4 linked regions of the Arabidopsis thaliana genome follow. The protein of the gene in region 2 interacts with the protein of the main gene of each other region in a pairwise test. Each region holds a gene or a part of one and is shown on either strand. Other genes may lie near its edges.

Region 1 (5,251 bases), on a different chromosome or scaffold from region 2:
AAGAAGAAGATCGAGGAAAAAAAACGAAACAAGGGTTTCCGAAAAAATAAAAGGTACTATTAAATTTATTTTATTCGTTTTGGACAAACTAACTCGTTGATTTTTCATATTTAATTCGATGACTTTTTAAGGAAATCGAAAATTACTGATTTTTTTGTGGCCATTACGAAGTTTTATTATAAGAGTGATTATATTATTATTGATATTATTTTAATAATATCATTTGTGATATGGTAAGTCAAAAATTGAATTTTTGTAGAAAATGAATTGGAATTATGTTTTGGGTCACATAAATATATGTAAAATTGAATTTGAATGAATAAAAAAAAAAAAAAAAAAAAACTAAATATAGCAAAATGGAATAATCAATATGTAAATGGGGAAAAAATCAACAATTGTATAGAAAATTTTGCCATTGGTGGTGGTGCTTCTCATTAGGTTCTTGCTTTTTGTGCTATCTTTTTAGGTGTTTCTCATACTAGAACATGCTTGATTAAGATAAAATCTTCACATTTCTGTTACTAATAGTGTTTCTCTTGTCGAACATTTACGACTTTTGGCTTGAGAAGGTCTTGTTTATATGTGGTTTAGCCTTTGTTTCTGTTTCTACAACTTGATAAATTGCGTTTTGAGTGTTGCCCAAAAATGGATGTGTATTGAGCTGCTTAATTAAGATCTTCTTCACATTTCTTGGTGGTAGTAGTGTTTTCAAGTGTTTCTTTGGTTAAACATTTGTGGCTTAGTTTCTATCTCGCTTAAGAAGATGGGAGAAGGAGATTAAATATCTGACATGACTTTATTCTTCTTTGAGTATTCAGGTGTCTAGGCAAAACTTTTAGTCCTATTAGTAGCAATTTGTTCTTTTTTTTCTTTTCCTATTTTTCTCTTCTATAAGTTCTTACCATATGAGTATACATTGTCTGCAGAGTTAGGTGCTAATATGAATGGATACCTTCTCATAAATGCTAATGGAGGACTAAACCAAATGAGATTGGGGGGTCAGGCTTTTGTGTTTTCTCAATGTTTCTCAAGTTATCTTCTGTTTATAACTTGATGACAGGCTAGTTCCTAACTTTATCAAGGACTTTGATTAATCTCACATCCCTAGTACTGAAAGTAACTTGTTAAGCACACACTGTATATTTCACTTACTTAAAGAAGATTTGGTAGTTAAACCGATTGCATCTTTGTTTTTGGACGAAGGGGGAAGAGAGTGATCAGAAATACATGACGATAGATGCTAACCGGAGTAACTCATCCAAAGCAGTCGACGAAAACTTGCGAGCAAAGAGAAAGCAAAGTCTCATCTTATTTTCTCCATTTTTCTTACAATCACCAACACTCTTCATCCTTAGCCACTCCAAGAACTCCACATTAACCTCCCACTCACCAAACAATCTCGGGTGAGCCCTACGCTTGCTCCAGTCAGTCCAAGTAAGCGTCCTATTCGCGTTACGCAACCCAAGGCTCGGCCTCATGTTGAGTAGCGTCGGGATATAGTGCTCGTCGGGGCAGCGAGAGTAAGCTTTAAAGATTGGCCAGTAGAACGTATCAGAGACTACCTCGAGGGCCATGGCTCGGTCTAGCTCGAACCACTGAGAGCCTTTTCGCCATTGGTGCATGCGGATGTGAGGATACATGCGGCGGTCATAGCGGACGCGACCGATTGTGAGGTCGTAGGAGTCGACGTGGGTTAGAGTGGAGTCGATGAGGAAAGAGTAAACTGTGGAGAAGTTGAAGAGAGGGATGCATGATTCGGAGAGAAGAATGAAACGTTCGTTGTTGATGTCTAATAAAGCGTTTGCTAATAACCTTCGTTCTGCTTCTACCATGTTTGCGTTTCCCCAATCCACTCTCTGCATACGTTTATAGTTAATGACATTGGATTGATTTTATTTTATGTATTATAGTGTAATAATTAATATGTTTTCTTTTAAGATACCAAATATTCTTATATTTTTATGTAATTTACTAAAAAAGATAGGAAAAATATCGTATTCATGTACTTCGATCCGTTATATATATATATATATATATATATATATTATTTATAATATATTTATAAATTTTATTTATCACGTTAATTCCAAACCTATTAATGTATCGAAATAAATTTCTTAATAATTTGGGAAGCTGACCTTGCTTGGAATACGGCGGCCATAAAACACAGAGTCTTGCGGCATGAACTCGTCGTAAGACGAATTGGTGTGAACGTAGATAGTGAAAAGACCTTCATGACCTCGAAAGAACCTTTCCCATAGAGGAGCCAAAGGTAAAGGTCCCCAAGTCAAGAACATGAAAGCAACCTTCGGGATTCTAGGATAAGGGTAATCCCTGATCTTAGGATCCATTGAAGCTCTCCACAGAAGTTCATTATCTTCCATATCGTGCATGATGTTCTTCAGTGGTATCAGAAACATGTCAAGCCCATTGTCCTGAAATGAAGGAGAAAGAATAGGAGGAGGAGGGGTTACAAAGAAGAGTTGGGAGACACTTTGGATGGTTAACGAAGAAGGCGAAGATAATCCTTGTAGAGAGGGATAAACAATGATTCCAACTATCACGCCGATCCAGAGGATGAAGAAATACAAAAGGAGATTGTGGAAATGGTGGAGTAGTTTCTTGAGAAGCTCTATCACTTGAGATAATGGTGAGTTTTGGTCCTTTTGGGTCGGCATTTCCAACTACCGATACATGTGTAAGAGAATTCTTGTTTCCAATGTTTTAAGGGTTAAAAAGAGATACATGGATCTTACTTCCTAGTTGGAATGAGGTTAAAAAGTGGAGAAGAGCAAGTAAAAGTGGAGATCTTGTGGCGTGAGTGATTAACTCGTAAAAACAAAAATACACACGCAATGGAATATAACATTTTGAGGCAGTTTTTTGATGATCCAAGCAAAGTCAATTGGGTTATATACGTAGCATCTTATTACTACTCTTTCACTAGCATTAATTCTTTAAACTAAAATTACAAATTTCCTTACATCAATATTAATTTACTTTTTTAAAAAGATTGATAGGAGTAGACTAACCAATCTTTGTCTTTGAATGAACTATTTCGCTATATGTCCATGCAATATATATTTTTTTAAGTTCGTTTTCCCAAAATCATATTTCTTTGTTATAAGTGGATATAATATTGATGGTGGTTTAAATGTTTTACTTGTAGTTTCGCTATATACTTTTTTTTATCTCTTGGTCGCATGTTTAAGTTTATTGCTTTTACTTATTAATATACCTTATACCTATATGATTTATCATTCTTTCGTTTTTGCTCATAAGTTTATTGCATACCTTGTCAATAATATACATTATTTTCTGGTAATCGTTCACAAGACATCCTTGAAACCTCCACGTTTACATTGCTTAACGCTTGCAACAATTTCATTGTATATATAAAAAAAAAGATCGTAATGAAAACAATATGAAGCTTATATATATATATATATATAGCACTACAAGTTAAACCTAATTTGTTTTTTTTTATAACTACCGGAGTGACTTTATCTACAAGAATGAAAATGACGCAGCCATAAAAGCAGGATCGTGTAGATTGCTATTAAAAACCTAAGTGAACAAAGATGTGAATTTCATTTACTCGATGTTTATAGTATGCAATAGACATGGTACCAACTCTTACAGATAATATATTCAACCGCGTAGACATTAAATCAAGAGGTAAACTGGAGAAACAATTACATACGTGGGAAATAATTTTTTTTATCGAACGGCGACCTACATGCTTTGTCTAATAGTCTTTACCAGTTGAGCTATTGAAATTGGTTTCGTATGTTTTCTCTTAGACGAAATATCTCTTTTTGTATTTTTTTATTTATTTATCAAATGAAAGTGACAAACATTATTTGCTTAAAGCTTTTGTTAGAAAATTAATCTCATGTAACTCAGATATAGGATTTTTTCATGGTTTATCTTTTACTTCTTACAAAACTGTAGATCCATGGATGCAAAAAAAAAAAAATGATCCATGAGACTATGTGAGTGAAAAGGATTTAACCTATGTAATTAAATTGAAGATTTTATATATTATGTATTTTCTACTTAAGTAATAGATTTTCGAGGGACAGTTATATCAGGCCATTCATACAAAGCCATTAGAGTATTCAAACATTAACTATATACACAGAATATAATTATAGTTGATATGAAACTAAGTTGAAGTCAACCTTGCGAATTCTAAACTGAAAGAATATTACTTTTTTGTTTGGTTCAAATAAAAGAAAATTACTTGTTGCACTATATAAATATTGATAAATAAATTGATTGGTCAAATTTACGTGTAGTTGCACATTGTTGAAAGCTGTAGGGTGAAGAGACAATAATTGTGCAAACAAGTGGCATCAACCCTGGGAATGTCATGACGTAGTGTAGGAAAAATGCATTCCATTCCATTTGGGTTACAGAACCGTCATGTTAGACGAGACTCATGCATGGTAATGATGGCTGAGTTAAAAACAACAACAAATATGTGATCATTTGGGTTCACTAGTGATACGAGAATATGCGTTTTCCATCACGGCTGCTTCCGAGAACTTTACAACAACATATATGTGATCATTTTGCTAGCTATGATACAAATTCTAGAGTGTAAAAAATAAACAAACAATAGTATCATGTATAGCTAACAAAATGATCCACAAGGTGAAAGTAGGCTAGTAACAGTGGTATTTTCTAAAATTTGAAATTTTATTGTTATTCCGAGAACTTCACAACATAACGTATGAGCCCATGGCTGGCCAAATGAAGTAATGGTTTGGAACCCATTTTATGATTTTTTTTTTTTTGTAAATATATAAATAGCTATGGTATATTTAAACAAATATGGTTAGAAGAAAAGTAACAACTACGTTTTTAATGTCGATTTTATAATATATATATATATATATATGTATAGTTATTATTTTCTTAAAACAGATATAAATTAAATTTAAATAATTATATCTATATTAAAGGGCTCTTATTTTTTTTTTGAGAATATTACACTGTAAAACACTTTTTAAAAAACATTTCCGTGGTTAGACACTTTCTAAAAAGAAGGCACTTTGAATGTATAATTTGACCAATTTACCCTCTAACCATATATCGCTTTATCTCTCTCATCCACCTATTCTTTCAAAAAATAAACAAAACTCAAGCCAAAAAAATATATTTATACCTTTTTCTTTCTTTCCTTTTCAACAAATCATCAGCTTTTATGAGAAAGAGAGATTGAGATTCACCTTCTTTAATTTTT
Region 2 (5,251 bases):
ATGGCGTATGCGAATCGTCACGCCTTTAGCTACGTTCCTTTAGAAGTTCGAGAACAGAGGAAAGATAGGAAATTGCTAAACAAATTAGAGAACAAAGGTTTAGTTAAACCACCGGAGCCTTACTTCTGCGGTGTTTGTGACCGGAGATTCTACACTAACGAGAAGCTAATTAATCATTTCAAGCAGATTCATGAGACAGAGAATCAGAAACGTATGAGACAGATTGAATCTTCGAAAGGACATCGAAGAGTGAGACTTGTGGCTAAGTATTCGATGAAGATTGAGAAGTATAAAAGAGCGGCGAGGAATGTTTTGACTCCGAAGGAAGGTTACGGTTTAGCTGATGAGCTGAAACGAGCTGGTTTTTGGGTGAAGATGGTTAGTGATAAGCCAGATGCTGCTGATAAGGCGTTGAAGGAACATTTGGTTGAAGTGATGGATAAGAGAGAAGTGGAGTGTGTTGTTTTAGTGTCTGATGATTCTGATTTTGCGGGGATTTTGTGGGAAGCTAAGGAGAGGTGTTTGAGGACGGTTGTGATTGGAGATTCGAACGAAGGTGCGCTGAAGCGAGTAGCGGATGTTGCGTATTCGTGGAAGGAAGTGACGATGGGGAAGGCGAAGAAGGAAGTTGAGAAAGTTGTGGGGAAGTGGAAGGATAGAGATGTGTTGAAGAAGTTGGAGTGGACTTATGATCCTGCTTTGGAGAAAGAGAGAGGTGGTTCTTGCGGTGTTTGGGATTACGAGTTTGATTATGATGATGAGATTGAGAATGGAACAGAGGTGGAACCTGTGGAGATTGGTGATGGTGTTGACTGGTGGAAGATCGATACTGAAGATGGTGTTGGATCTTCAAGAACTTGTCGATAACATCATCGCATATGTCGTGGTTGATTGCGCAGAGGAAGATAACATGGTATAGGCTAGAGAACAATCTTGTGAATCTATTGGCATATTACATAAACTTCAGGCTAGAGAACATTCATTGTTTCTTGTTATAAGATTATGCAGTGATTTGATTTGTTCTTCCAAACCATCATCGTTAGTCAAGTGATTAGAGCTATGTAAAAATTGGTCAGAATAAGAATAAATATATGTTTGAATTCACAAGAAACAAGTGACAATAGATTGAATTACTACAGAGTATATGCATCAAAATCCAAGCTACTTTATTCCTCCGACATGATGGAAAAGACAATTGAGTTTCGACAATTGAAACATCTAAGTGATGAAGCTGTACATTGCTCAAAATCTACTAACAAATAAATGAAGCAAAATCTAGCAACACAGAAACAATGCAGATACGTAAGTGATTTTTCCTGGCAATGCAAGTGCTCGGTTTCAAAAGCTTAACCTAGAGCGAACTCCAAGCTCAACAAGGGGAAACAGAGACCATGACTTAAGCAGAGAGACAGAGCTCACCAAGAACTCTTCTTCTTCGAGCCAGTGTAAAAACCCATATACCATTTCACAAACTTTTTCAAACCCGTCTCAAGATCAACCGCAGGTTTATAACCGAGCTCTGCTTGCGCTAACGTGATATTGGCATGAGTAAACTCAACATCCCCATTCCTCGGTAGAGGCATGATCTTTTTCTTAGCTTTCATCTTCAAAAGCTTCTCTAATATAGTCACAAGCTTAGTAACAGGAACAGGAGAAGTATTCCCCAAATTATAAATCCTAAACATAGCAGGACCTTTCTTCTTACCACCACTACCAGTACTCTTCTCAGCAGTATCTAACGCACCTAAACAACCTTTTACAATATCATCAATGTAAGTGAAGTCCCTAGCAACACTACCTTTATCAGGAGATTCAAACACAGTAATCGTCTTCCCTTTAAGAATATCTTTAGTAAAGAAGAAATACGCCATATCTGGTCTACCCCAAGGTCCATAGACAGTGAAAAACCGCAAACCCGTTAACGATAATCCGTAGATGTGATTGTAAGTATGCGCAATTCCTTCACCTGCTTTCTTCGTAGCTGCGTACAAACTCGCTGGTTGATCGGTACGGTCTTTCTCCGAAAAGGGTACTTTCGAATTCAGACCATAAACAGAGCTAGAGGAAGCCCAGACTATAGCAGGTTGCGGATTCGCTGATTTCGATACTTCTAATAGATTCACAAACCCAGCAATGTTACTGTTAACATATGAGCCAGGGTTTTGCATTGCGTAACGCACACCAGCTTGAGCAGCGAGATGCATAACATGTGTGAAGAGGACAACATCAAAGAGCTTTCTGAGTAAAACGGCGTCGTTTATATCGCCTTCGACTACGAAAACACCTGATCTTTCTAAAAGGCCTTGTCTTGCTCGTTTAAGCTTTGGATCGTAGTATCGATTGAAATTGTCGAGACCTAGAACACCATCGCCGCGTCTTCGTAACGCGATCGAGACGTGAGTACCGACGAATCCGGAAGCTCCGGTGACTAATACCGTTAAACCGCCGTGAGACCTAGGACGAGCGGATTTACGGACTTGTTTCTCCCAGTGAGAGCCGCCGTATTTCGCGGCGGAAATGGAGGAAGAATCGTTGAGATTCCGGCGAGATGGTGACGGAGGAGGAGATAAAACGAGGTAGAAGAGGAAGAGAGCGAGGAAGAGAGAAGCCCAAAGGGTGAGTTTTGAGAGACGGAGGTAACGGTGGTGGTGGAGAATCCCGTACGGTGGAACTTTATCGGTTTTGTACTTTCCGGGAGTAGAAGGAAGATCATCAAGGTGAGACATTTTCACCGGAGGAGGATTTAGAAATCGGAGAAAATGTCGATTAGGGTTAGGTTTGGATTTTTGGGTCTTAAGGAAGCAAAATTGAGCAAGTCAAAAATGAGAGGATTTTCCGGGAAAGAAGAAAGAGACGATCTTTTACTTACTTGTTGTAATTAAATTAAATGTGGATGGTTTAATTTGGTTAATGATGTAAATTTATTTATTTGGTTCAATCTTTAAGATATGGTAATAAGAAAGCTGCCAGAGAGTATATTTAGATTCATGAATTTTAGATTGCTTTTCAAAGTTAAAACGTGTTTGTAGATTGTTGACATTTGTATAGTTGTATTGCATTCTATATTGATCATGTTATGCATGTACTTTTGTACACGATCACATATACACTATTTTTACACGCAATAATTGTTTAATAATATTTACTACTTTTGCTTTTAACTTCTGTATTTCTTTGTTCCGATTGATAATAAAAAGAAAAATTATACAATAACAAAAGGTTATAAGAAATGTGAAATAACGGGGGTAATAATGATAAAAATAGATATAAAATCGATCGTATCATGTCATATATATAAATAATATCTTTCGGGATTAACTTTTTTTAGTTCTAATTTATATCGATTGACAAAAAAGTAAATAATACAAAATCGGTTATTTTTGAGGAATTTTATTACGAGTTATTTTTTATTTTATGAAATTGATCTGTTTTTTAGGAGGTAAACAATAAAATTGCATTAAAAAATGTAGTGATTTTTTTATTTTTTAATAAGAATTTTCTACTTATAATGTGAACAATACTATGTGGATACATGCTAGTATGTTAGCAATGTGAACAATATTCGTGATAAGTTAAATATTATTTTAATTTAGTTTATGATTGTTATATCTCACCTAACCATTATTTTCGACATCAAACGAAAATTAATGTTATATATTCCTAGTGTCATAGTAAAAGCTTTAAGAAATAATCCACATTTAATAAGATATACAAATCGTAATATACCATATAATCACGCAACACTGATATTAATCAGCTTAGTATAGTTAACCTATCAGAAAATTGATCTCTTTATAATAAAATTCTATTTCTTTATGGTAATAAGGAGCCAAATCAATTACTACCAAAATATCGGTTATGCCATATACAGTTAATTTGTAATTACTCTGGTTAGATTAGGATATTATCAAAATCAAGATTGACTTTGTCCTTCTAGCGATCATTAACTAATTTTACTAGAGCATAACCGGCTGGGTCAAAGAAATTTGCTTTTATTGCACAAAATTCTAAATTTATTTCAAAAAATTGTTGTTTGACGCTTGTACTAATTATCAAGCTAGTCCGTACACATCGTCTGATATACACTCATTTGGTTGATAGGAGTATTTTTCTCCTAGTCCTGGGCGTTTGGGTATTCGGTTCGGGTTCGGATCGATTTTTTCGGGTTCGGATTTTTCGGAACTATAATTTTAGACCCCGTTCGGGTATTTGAAAACTTCGGTTCGGGTTCGATCCGGTAAATTTTGGGTTTGGGTAGGTATTGGTACTTCCATTGAAAAATCCAAAAAGTAACCGAATATTATTCGATACTAGTTTATAACTACTATAATATACCCGAACATACTTGATACTAACCACATATACCATAAAACCTGTAAATTTGTAATAAAAAAAACTTAAAGTAAAATCAATAAAGCATGACATAATAAAAGTTTCATACGTTCAACCCAAAAAGCAAGATTCAAAACATCCAAATAAAACCATTCAAATAGAAGAAAGAAGTTCAAATCCAAAGCAAGACATAAAAACATCGTTTAGAATCGAATCCAAAGCATTCAAAGTAAAGAAAGAAGTTCAAATCCAAAGCAACATCCAAACATGATAGATTCCCCATGACTTGTTCCTGTTACATCAAAACCAAATAAGCTCAGTTGAAAAATAAAAAACCATAATAAACATTAAACCATAAACCAAGTAAAAGTCAAATACGAAATGATCGTTGATTCATAAGTCTAGTATATTAACATTGAGCTATAAACCAAGTTCAGAAGTAAAAGAAAACAAAATGGAGTGATGAAGTTACCTTGTAGTCGTTTCCTTGATTAGTCTTTTAGTCCAAATTCACTTCAGTTTGAAACTCTGAAAAAGATTCAATCAACACCCAAGTTGTGTTAGAACATAAGAGAGTTTTCAAACAACATCTAAAACTAAAACTAGTAAACTACATAGATAAAGTTACCTTTCTCAAGCTTATCAAGTAATTCTATATCAGCAAGAAGTTGTGTATTTGTTAGAAAAGTGTTTTCACTCAGCTTGATTTCACTTTTCAACCACTGCTCAAGGCAAACCAAAGTCTCTACCATATAATGAGTAAGGCAGCTTCTACTTGGCTCCAAAAGACGACCACTGGTGCTAAAAGCACTTTCAGATGCGACATATGACACTTGCATTGCAAGTACATCTCTTGCAATTTCTGATAAAACTGGATACTTCTGACTATTGAGTCTCCACCAAGACAAGACATCCCACT
Region 3 (6,201 bases), on a different chromosome or scaffold from region 2:
GGAAAGCTAACTAAAGCTATTGTATCCTCTTCCTTGTGTTTTCTTTATCTTCTATCAATTCTTCACTATAATGAATCTAGAAAGTTGCCAGAGACTTCACTTTTATGTAGAACCTGTAGAATCAAATCACATGTTGTTTTTTGTTTTGGTAATATTGATAAGGTTTGGTTTCCATGTTATCCTTTACTTAAAAGCTTAGAAATGGCGTCATGAGTTCAAGGTAGATGAGCTTTCTGAAGATTCTATTAAAGCAGCTACTGACACTGGAAAAGCCTATGTACATGGTTTTCTAGATGTTAAAGGTCGGCCAGTGGTTATTGTAGCTCCTGCAAAGCACATCCCCGGGGCAAGTTAGACACCAGTTTTCTTGTTAAATTTCAGCAATGCAGATTTACTATAGCTGAGGATTTGTGAAATGTCTGACGTTTTGCAGCTGCTTGATCCAATAGAAGATGAAAAGCTTTGTGTGTTCTTACTTGAAAAGGCTTTAAGTAAGTTACCAGCAGGACAACACAAGATACTTGGGATATTTGATCTCCGTGGATTCGGATCTCAGAACGCAGATCTTAAGTTCTTGACTTTCCTGGTATTTCTTTCTCCTTACAGGTGAATGGTTTTTGTATCTTCTTACAGGTGAATGGTCTTTGATCTTATTGTTGTCTTTTCCATTGTTTTGTTTCTGCAGTTTGACGTATTTTACTATTACTATCCAAGCCGATTGGATGAAGTCCTTTTTGTAGATGCTCCATTCATATTTCAGCCAATTTGGCAATTCACTAAACCGTTGGTGAAGCAATACGCTTCTCTGGTAACTTCCATACCATATTGCTATGTTTTTATGCATCGATTCTAATTGCTATATACTACATAGTGTGGTTATTCAGAGGACTGGACTAGATGGATTTTTATACTTTGCTTTATGTGAAGGTCAAGTTTTGCTCAGCAGAGACCGTCAGAAAGGAGTACTTTACTGAAGAAACATTACCATCAAATTTCCGGAGCTAAAGAGGTTTATAAGAGACCTTTAAGCACTTATTTCTTCTGTTGTTGTCGATTTATATGTGTATAGATAATTTTTAAGTATGGAGAAAAGGGATAACCCTTAATATTAAAAGAACTCATTGTAAAACCTCAAAAAAGGTATCAGTATACATAGAGATAAGAACAAACAACATGAAAAGCCTTCCTAAAATTAAGAAAAAAAAAAAAAAAGGTAAACAAAGCACAGAGAGAAATCATAGAGAAGCCCTGAGAAGTCAGAATTTGAGGGTTCCATGTTGAAGATCTTCAAATCAGGTTAGCCCTCTTCAGGAATCTGATAGTTCTGCAGTAATAAGGCCATACAGATTCAACAAAATCCAGGTATTTCTCAATGATCCATTCTTGGAACTGTTTCAGCTTCGTGCGTGTGAGCTCTTTGTAGTCTGTGTTCTTGATGGCCACCACTGGTTTAAACACTAGAGCTTTAACGTCGTCTTTGAGCTTTCCATCGGCAATGTATTGGTATGCTACAAGATAATACGATGGTAGGTTTCTTATCATTTTGATGGTTTGGTTGAAGCAGAAGGCGTAAAGGGAACATAGTCCTTGGAACATTTTTATATAAAGGGCGATGATCAAGGGGCCAACCACCCACATAGGGGATAATTCCTTTGTAACTTCAGCACCACAGATCGCGTAAACAGCTAGGAAAGCTGGAACACTACAAAAAAGGTCAAGGTGAAAGTATAGTCAATACACATACAAGGAACTTGGAAAAGAAAAAAGTGGCTGTGACACTCTTAAATCTTCCTAAGGACAGTTTTTGAATATAAGTTCACATCTAGTCGATTTTCCTCTATTGATAACTAACTCTAGACTACCTCATCAAGCAAAAGAAAAAGATGCTTTGATGCTGATACTTACAATAACAGCAACGGAATCTTGATAGCTGCGTCTAGACTCCAAAACCAGGACCAAACTGTATTTTTGGTACTCTGGAGACTTTCTGCTTTCCGAATTTCTGTTTCAGTTTCTTGCTTCGTCGTTTGTGGAACCTGTTCTCCTCCTAAAGTCTCGTCAATCACTTGAATAGGTGACTGTGTGCGCAACAATGTCAACCATTTCTTGAATAGTTTCTGAATAGCGGGTTGCCCTGTCATGGAATCCTCTGTTTCCGAGGTATATGAAAACGAAGTGTTCTGTGCCTTTGGGGAGCCATTCACATTATTTTCGTCATCATCTGAACGGTAAGATAGTTTGACAGAGTTATTAGTAACTTTCTTCCCACCCTCACTTCCTCCTGATTCATTATTTTGGATGCCACCTTTAAAAGATGTAACTCTGAAAGGTTTTGCTCTCAATCCACCGTTGCAAGGGGACCCTAAACTGCAAAAGAGTTTCACAACATATTATGATTCCGAGAATCAATTGCAAAGGGAATATATGAACTATAACTTTTTAGTATAGTTTCCTATATGTTCATACGTCTCAGTATCTAACAAGGAATCTCTTAGCTAACAGATAGGTCTCAGCGTATTAAGAGGCACATTTTAATCCACAATATAACTACGTATCTACCTTCCTAGAGTACAGTCGTACAGAGAGAGTAATGAGTCTCAAACTAAGTAGTACATAACCTAAGCAGGGATTTGTAAAGTGGGATACTCACCTAAAACAACATTTTTGCTTCAATCGTAAATGCTTATCTTTCCTCTCAACAAAGTGCACTGTCGTAACAGGTCTCTTTAAACACAAGCCTCTGGTCCATGTTGGCGAACTCCAAGGAGACAAGACATGTGAACCCTACATGAGAGAACAAGGGGGAGGTAAACATCTATATTTCTAGTGTGGCAAGTAAAAGAAGGCTTTACAAGAGTGAAACGGAAGGTACAACCATTTGCAGACATGACCATTACAGAGACACAAAACAAAGTAGAATTTAGGACTTTACAGATCTATGTCTAAGATACCTGCAATTTATGGGTTACCAACACCATTGTCTCTAGCTGAGCAGTGAATCATTTACTCAAAAGCCACAATCTGAGGCCGAAGAAAGGATTGAATAAGATGATTGTAACCTCCAAAGATGATGAAATCACAAGTAGCGACCATAAAACATTAAAAGGAAATTTCATATATAGATCACAACAAAAATTACTTGACAGGAGCGAAGCTGAGCAAAATCCGAAGTAAGAGAACCTCATTAGCGAGCTTAAATATCATAAATATTCAATTTTTCAATCCTCTCAGCTGCAAAACACTCTTATCCAACACCCAATTCCCCAAATCAGATTAAATTACACTAAACTATAAAATCTAAAGCGCAACCATAAGAAACCTGGAAAATGATAGGTTTTGTTCCCTTAACAAAAGTACCCCAAATCCATAAAATAGATTGCAAATTAGAAAACAGCTGCGAAGAAACTGAGAGGGAAAGAGCAGAAGAACGGACCTCAATCATGAGCTCGTTGCCTTGGGGTTTGTTCGTCCGTGAGAATACGAAAGAAAAGAACAGAATTTATCGAATAAGAGAAAGGGAAAGAACCCTAGTGAAAATCTTGAAGCTTTGAATAAAAAAAAGCAATAAGAAAGATTGGAATTTTAGAGGGAAGAAGAAATGGGGACGCGGATAGATAGAGAGGAGAGGAGATTGGAAGAGATAGGAGAGCAGATTGCAGGCAAGCGGTTAATCAAAGGTTTTTTAATACCAACACCTCTAAACGTCGTCGTTTCGGAGAAATTACTATTAAGTTTTTTTTTTTATTAAATCACAATTGATTTTCTATTTTAAATAGTCAAATAACGAGTTGAAGAACATAGTCTTAACAAAAAAAAAAATCATTTGAATAGAACTTTCACAACTTTTTTATCAACTTTTTTCAAGATAAAAAAGCTCTTTACATTTAGATTTACATGATGTTTTGTTTCTTCAAATCATACAATCAACACGAAAATAACATTTCTTATAATCATTTTTTTGAAAACCACGACGTGAAACATGTAATTACGTTCTCAAAACTTGAAGTCCTCTCTTTTATATCGAATATCTTTGAAGGAACCAAAACTTGAATCTCTAGTTTCACAATGAATTAACTAACAACTTGATTTCATTGGACTTAAAAGGGGTTGTGGTCGGATGTTTATCAACTTAGTCAAGCGATATATGGATCTTTATACCCTGAATTTTGATCCTAGGCTTCGGCCTAATGCTTAATCGGTTAATCCAATAGTAGACTTGCGAGAAATCATGCTAAATGGGCCCTTGAGAAAGAAAAAGAAGAAAAATCAAACCAAACCGAAATCTAAAATACAATTAGACTTGTAAACCAAATTGAACCGGGAAGATCATGTGGGAGTCTCGAGGCTGCCTGTTTCAGACAAGTTGCTGAATTGTTTAATTCACCGGGTAGCTGCCCGCTGACCAAACAGATTTCCTTCTTTTCTTAGAAAATTGCCTTTTTATATTATTTCCAATTTCTGCCTATTTCCATCGACCGACTAATAAACACCATTGACCTAATTTCCAAGCCTCTCTCTATATAAACCAAACCTCTTTTGCATATACCTTCATTATCTTTAGAAGCCTCCTTTGTCTGTCTCCTCCTTATTCGATATTTCTCTTCCATGTTTTTCGTTCTTTTTCTTTTTAAGTGGTAGAAGATATTCTCTAACTCCATAAACTTATGTGTTAGCTTGTTTACACGTTGGTGATAGTTGATTGGTCAGTTAGAGAATAGATCTGGATCTTGTTCTAAAAATGTTACAATCTTTCTAATATTTAGATTTGCAGCTGTTTATTTTTGGTGTTTTATTGAGGTTTCATTCCAATAGTCGTTACAGTTTTATTGTATTTCTTAGTCAAGATAGGAAGCTTTTTATATGAGATGGTATATTCGATATGAGAAATTTACACAGTAGTGTATACACTTACGTATGATGGTGCAAAAATCTTCCATCCGCATGTCATGTCGTTTTGGTAGGCAGAGCGGCCATCTTTTGCACATATTAATCTTTGAGTGCCTTTATCATGTTTGACCCTTCGGTATGTAAAAGATCGCTATTTCAATATCTCTTCAGTAATATTGAAATCGATTTTTTACCTTGGCATACAATTTTGAATTTTCTACTTAACAAATTGTTTTGAATTTTTTTTAATTGTTTTAGACTTTTAGGCATGTTTATTGTTGTACTTTGGTTTACCAATTGATTTCAAATAAAGGGTTGTATAAAGTTTTTTTTATTAATATCGATATCTTTTTGTGTTAAATATAATTACATTCCTGGTGCCTTGTGGAGAAGTTTTATGATATTTGATTGATATAGACAATATTTGGGGACTTGATTATTCCAAGACGTTGACAGTTTGAGGTAGTTAAAATGTTGGGACTTAGATGAAGTTTATGCAGCCACGTAAAAAGACATGAATTTGAACAGAACATTATGGACCTTTTTTTAGACAAGGAGACATTCGACCAAAAGTGATATGTACATACTATTTTTAGGAAGAAAATCCAATTACCACAAATAGATTAGCTTTTGACAACTTTTCAGTTACCCAATAATTCCAATTTCCAAATGTGTTGGGTAAATTGAGGCGTCACAAAGTACCTCAAATTTTGTAACTGGAATCAGATCTCCACTTGAATCTTTTAAGTTTCAGAATAACTGGATCCCTAAGTAAAATCTTTAAAAAGGTAAAGGATTTTACAGTTAAGAACTCGAGACAGATCTGTGTTATTCTCTTCTCTGTAATAATAATAAGAAAGATGTTTTCATACATCAAGACTGGTTTTGGGAAGGTGATGATAACCACATGAGGAAGCTAGATATAGACCAGATTGAAATCACACCCAAAACCTGTATCACATTCAAAAGTGTGCCCAGTGATTTCTTGATTGCCAGATTATTAACTGTTGCCTCTGCTCCTTTAACCGTAAATGACAATGCTGTTACTAGTTGCGCCGCTCGGTTCAGCTGATGAAGTCTGTATACCTACAAAACCCAAAAAGGTTCCTTCAAAAGTGTGTTAAAGTGAAATATCTTTTGAGAGGTGTTGATTGAAGAAGAGTGATCACATACCTGAAAGATGATGGGGATGATAGGAGATGATGGAGAGTTACGATATCTTGCGTACTGTTCGAATGCAAACTGAACAACGATACCAACGAGGTATGGTGCAAGAGTAGCTGATGCTGCAGGTCCAGTCCATGGCCAGACGAA
Region 4 (4,420 bases), on a different chromosome or scaffold from region 2:
TACTAGATCCTTCACCATACTCTCGGTGAAGTACTTTGAGTGCATTTTTGCTTATAAAGTTGTTTCTGGTATAAATCATAATAATAAAATAAAAACTAATTTCGCACAAAAATTCACTTGCGTACTTGATTAACAAAACCTTCTATATATTATTAGTGTTTGAGCAAATTGTTAGGGCTAGAAATATTTTTTTATGTAGACTAATCATTGATTGACAAAAAAAAAATTAAAAATTTAGACTAATCATTTATAGTTTACCTAAACCTACTTTACGCCGGCTTATGGTTGAATTCTACGTGGATTTAAGCATAAGTTTACAATAGCCATAGTAATTCGGTAAGTACATGCTTTTGGGTCCTTATCATCTCTATTGGTGTGGTCATATCTGAATAAGCAGAGCTACTACGGATCACGAATCTCTTCTTCTCGTATGTTTTATGTTTAAGTGAGGTTCGATCTAGAATCTCATCAATTAATATCAATAAAAGTACACCCATGATCAATGAGAACTCATGTAACAATAATCTCTGTTCGTAGGTTCTTGGGGATAAATTAGTCATCGGAATAGCATACCAGAGATCGACGATCTCATTAATCATTATGTATAAGTACAAACTTCGTAAAACTATCCAATGCTACAAATAACAATACAAGATAGTACAGTGGTACCACCTAATTATTGATATAATTCTATGACTTCTGAACTTGAATATGTATGTATGTATGGTTAGTCATATATTTATAAATCTAGGAATTTTATTTTCTTAAGGTTAATCTTCTTTAACAAAGTTTAAATCTAAAATTTAACATTGCATCGCAGTATATATACTAGCTGTAATATAATCTTGTTCAACATTAACATAACCAATATATTGAATTAAAAAGCCAAGACTTATTTATGCCTAGTAGAAGTAAAAAGTCATTTTTTTGTTCGGGTAAAGTGATGAACCAACTCAGAAGGCTTTCAAAAGCAATTTCCTAATGGAATATCTAGCAAATTAGCAAGTGTTACACCACTTTTCTATTTCTTCTTGTTTAAAACTGTAACCACTATCTTGCGTCATCTTGACACTACTACTTCTCACTGTTTTGATTTAACTATTTACAATAAGGATAAATATAAATAGATATAGAAGTAATGTTTAAGTTTTACCATTTCATCATCACATCCAATATAAACTCATCATTAAGCAATCATTTACATTTACTTCATCTTGCCTCTGATTTTTCCTTTTTGTTTCAAATTTCATGTGTCTGATGTCTTCTTACTCTGTCTCCGACTAACCAAACAACATACTTTTGTGATTACATAAACACATATCAACAGAAGAAGAAAACCAAACACAAAAACCCTAAACAAGATAGGCTCTTCAACAGGAGACATAACGGCCAAGTACACACAATCTCTTATAAGAACAAGCAATGTCAGTCCTTGCACAACATTTTTAACCACCAAAACTCTTTTATTTATTCCTTCTTCTTTGCATAACTTGCATATAATCCTCAAAAACAAAACACCAACCACCAAGAACGTTGTACTAGACCATCCTCGGTAAGAGACAATCTTCCCTCCCACTATTAATGGCTCTTTCCTGCATATACAAGACTTGCAGACTCCAGAGAAAGTAGATGTGACCAGAGCATCGAATCCTGTATAATAGGGGAGAATCACAGCGTCTAAGTAAAGACTAGCGTGGAGAATACCAGAGATAGTAGAGGCTTCGAAGAAGACAAAACTCGCTTCTTTTTCGATATTGTTCTCAAATAAAAGCACTGAGAGCTGAACAAGCTGTAGTATCGCAGGTCCAAAGATGGAAATTGGGAAAAGGGTATTGATCCTTTGACCTTTTGCAAGAATCAAGATGATCAAAGGAAGAGAGATTGGACCAGAAGGAAGTAAGTACCTTCTTGCTTTGTCATCATCACCATCATCATCATTTTCTCTTCTTCTTCTTGATATTACCTTCCTTACGACAACAATTAGCGTCGTCAAATAAGTAACCGTAACGAAGAAGAAAACTAGAACGTCGGTGATTTGAGGGTAGTCGCCGGCATAGATGCTGTCGCAGAAATAGTGGAAAGGACAGTTAATAGGATCAAGTGTGTCCTCGAATTGCCACTTTGTGCATTTGAAAAATGTTTTCTTTCTATCAGAATCCATTTCCCATTCTGAATTCATAATTTGTTTGTTTTTTTTGTTTTGATCTATATGTTTTTGGTTTCCTTAGAAGCTACACATATAGTTTATAAGGAGTGTGTGTGACGTGACATCATCATATGGTTGATTCTCTTTCATTGTCTGGTTATAGATGCTTGAACTAAAATGGATAATGAAACTCTATCTGAAATCTGAATTCTATCTTCATTTTTTGTTTATTAATACAAAAAATCACCCTTTGAATGAAACTATGTATTGAGAGAAGCCTTGATCTTCAAGGGAAATAAAAGTTTGGTGTGCAGCTGATGATTGATTGGTTCTGTGTAATTGTTAAATTGCATGATTACGTAACTGAGAATTCGGTTTAACCGTTTAAATTCCGGTCTACTGAAATTGCTACGGAAATAAACCGAATTAAACCGAACCGGATCATGATTCAGTCTACTTTAGTTTTTGTGCTCCGTAGATTGAGAGAAGCCAATTTTAGGGAAAAGAGAGAGATGAGGAAGTTGAATCCGCTTCTGAAACGAGGCTTGAAGGCTATTGAAAATGGTGATTTGTTGAAGATCCTCCAAAGTGAAATTCGTCACGAAATCTCCCATCCTCGTTTCCAGGTAAATTGTTGTCTTCCTCTTTCCTTCTTCTTCTTCGTTGCTCTCAGTAATCTCTCAATTGAGTTTTAAGATCAATGGTGCTCAACATTAGTTCGATCAGACTCTGTCAGTTTCAATTTCATTTTTCTGAATTGATGAACATTAGAGTGATTTACCAGATGGGCGAATTTGAATTTGATGTTGGATCTCATAAACCCTAGGATTTTAAGTACTTACATTCTACCTTTATGATTTTGCTTTGTGCTTGAACCCCACAGGGCGTTGAGACCGGTTCTCTAGGAGATTTCAAATTGGATTGGGATTCACCGGAAAGCCAAGATATTGTTCTGAAGAGACAGTTTGATTCAGGCGAGAAGGTTGTGGTCTCTGCTTTATTGCAACCAGAACCTATAGAACTAGAAGATGATTTAGTGTTTCCTAGGGAAGCTCATGCCAAAGTTTGTATCAAAAAGCCTGGTCTCAGCTCTATCTTGCAGTTTCATTGCCGGGTTTACGAATCAGGATCTGGATCTTCTCATTTCGACATCGAGAGCGCCTACTTTATCCGCTCTTTTGTTTCTGCTCCTTCTTCCACTTATGGAGACCATTTTTTCAGGTGAAGTAAGCTCATAAATGATAATCTCTCAACATTTTGTTTAAGTTACTTGAATCATATCTGTTTTACTTCATCCAAACCTCAAAGCATTGGGTACACTTCCCATTGTTCTTTCCCTGGAGTAATTGTTCTATATATATTGAAAAAGAAGTAGACTATTAGAGGTTCATGTGTCTGCATATGTTTGATTTCAATGACCAGTGTTATTTTCTTTGTTTCTTTAGCCAAGTAGATCCCAAACTACACAGTGCACTGGAGCAATACCTAATATCTAAGGGGGTCAGTGAAGGCTTAACTAATTTCCTTTTGTGTCACCTGAACAAGAAGGAGCAGGATCAATACGTTAACTGGTTACGCAGGCTTGAATCAACTATGTCACATTCTCCAAAGCCGTGAGTGTTTACTCCATAAGCTCATTTCTTTTCAAGTTTTGTTTTTGGAACAATGGTAAAATGCCTTAGGAGTAGTATTATTAGCTAAGAGAGTCCTTGCAATGGATGTTTTGAGGGAAGATGTATCGACGAATACATGTTAACTGTAATATTTCCAACAAATGGGACCCCAAATCGTATGCTTTTGAATTTTCAAGCAAGCTTGGTTTGATCTTTGATCTTTCAAGATGATTAGTCATGAGATAGTGAGTAGTAATCGACATCTACATAACCACCCTCATTCATGTATTTATCTTTGTAAATCAATACTTGACCTATAATGTCTTTTGATCTTTCTCCGAAAGGACTAAAAAGTGAGAAAATGCAATAAAAAAAAATTTACGAACAAAAAAAAGGCAAATGAGAGAGAACAAAAATTCGGAGCACGCAGCGTCAAGCAAGCATCACTTAACACTAAAAAGAACTTATGTTAGTAAAATTATTCTGGAAAAGATAAATCAGTTATTGTGTGAATACTATAGTGTTAACGTGACATAACATCATAGGAAAACGATAAAAAAAGCATAGATCTTGAGGTATCTTTTTTTTTTTTTTTCTCTCTGAACTGATATCTTTTCATTGATAACATTTTAAGTTCTTACAAAAAGTTGATCAGTGGACT

What was found.
Region 1: the proteins of GAE5 (region 2) and AT1G68380 interact in a protein complementation assay, tested with the Arabidopsis thaliana proteins (one large-scale study listed by BioGRID).
Region 3: the proteins of GAE5 (region 2) and EMB2759 interact in a protein complementation assay, tested with the Arabidopsis thaliana proteins (one large-scale study listed by BioGRID).
Region 4: the proteins of GAE5 (region 2) and AT2G41610 interact in a protein complementation assay, tested with the Arabidopsis thaliana proteins (one large-scale study listed by BioGRID).

The regions. Positions count from the first base shown.
Region 1 is NC_003070.9:25,634,716-25,639,966, forward strand, and holds AT1G68380 (Core-2/I-branching beta-1,6-N-acetylglucosaminyltransferase family protein), read right to left. Parts: upstream 2,748-5,251; 5' UTR 2,679-2,747; coding exon 2,139-2,678; intron 1,857-2,138; coding exon 1,218-1,856; 3' UTR 1,123-1,217; downstream 1-1,122.
Region 2 is NC_003075.7:7,288,123-7,293,373, forward strand, and holds GAE5 (UDP-D-glucuronate 4-epimerase 5), read right to left. Parts: upstream 2,999-5,251; 5' UTR 2,727-2,998; coding exon 1,416-2,726; 3' UTR 1,070-1,415; downstream 1-1,069. Other genes in the region: AT4G12240 (zinc finger (C2H2 type) family protein), read left to right, coding at 1-867. UniProt on the Arabidopsis thaliana protein: Involved in the synthesis of the negatively charged monosaccharide that forms the backbone of pectic cell wall components.
Region 3 is NC_003076.8:25,289,886-25,296,086, reverse strand, and holds EMB2759 (embryo defective 2759), read right to left. Parts: upstream 3,684-6,201; 5' UTR 3,443-3,683; coding exon of another isoform or gene 3,434-3,442; intron 3,022-3,433; 5' UTR 2,979-3,021; coding exon 2,952-2,978; intron 2,785-2,951; coding exon 2,651-2,784; intron 2,637-2,650; exon of another isoform or gene 2,393-2,636; intron 2,368-2,392; coding exon 1,906-2,367; intron 1,703-1,905; coding exon 1,288-1,702; 3' UTR 1,092-1,287; downstream 1-1,091. Other genes in the region: AT5G63060 (Sec14p-like phosphatidylinositol transfer family protein), read left to right, coding at 1-21, 200-346, 434-586, 686-808, 928-1,005; AT5G63040 (uncharacterized protein), read right to left, coding at 5,761-5,973, 6,061-6,201.
Region 4 is NC_003071.7:17,344,940-17,349,359, reverse strand, and holds AT2G41610 (uncharacterized protein), read right to left. Parts: upstream 2,204-4,420; 5' UTR 2,180-2,203; coding exon 1,247-2,179; 3' UTR 1,121-1,246; downstream 1-1,120. Other genes in the region: AT2G41600 (Mitochondrial glycoprotein family protein), read left to right, coding at 2,590-2,772, 3,030-3,367, 3,592-3,763.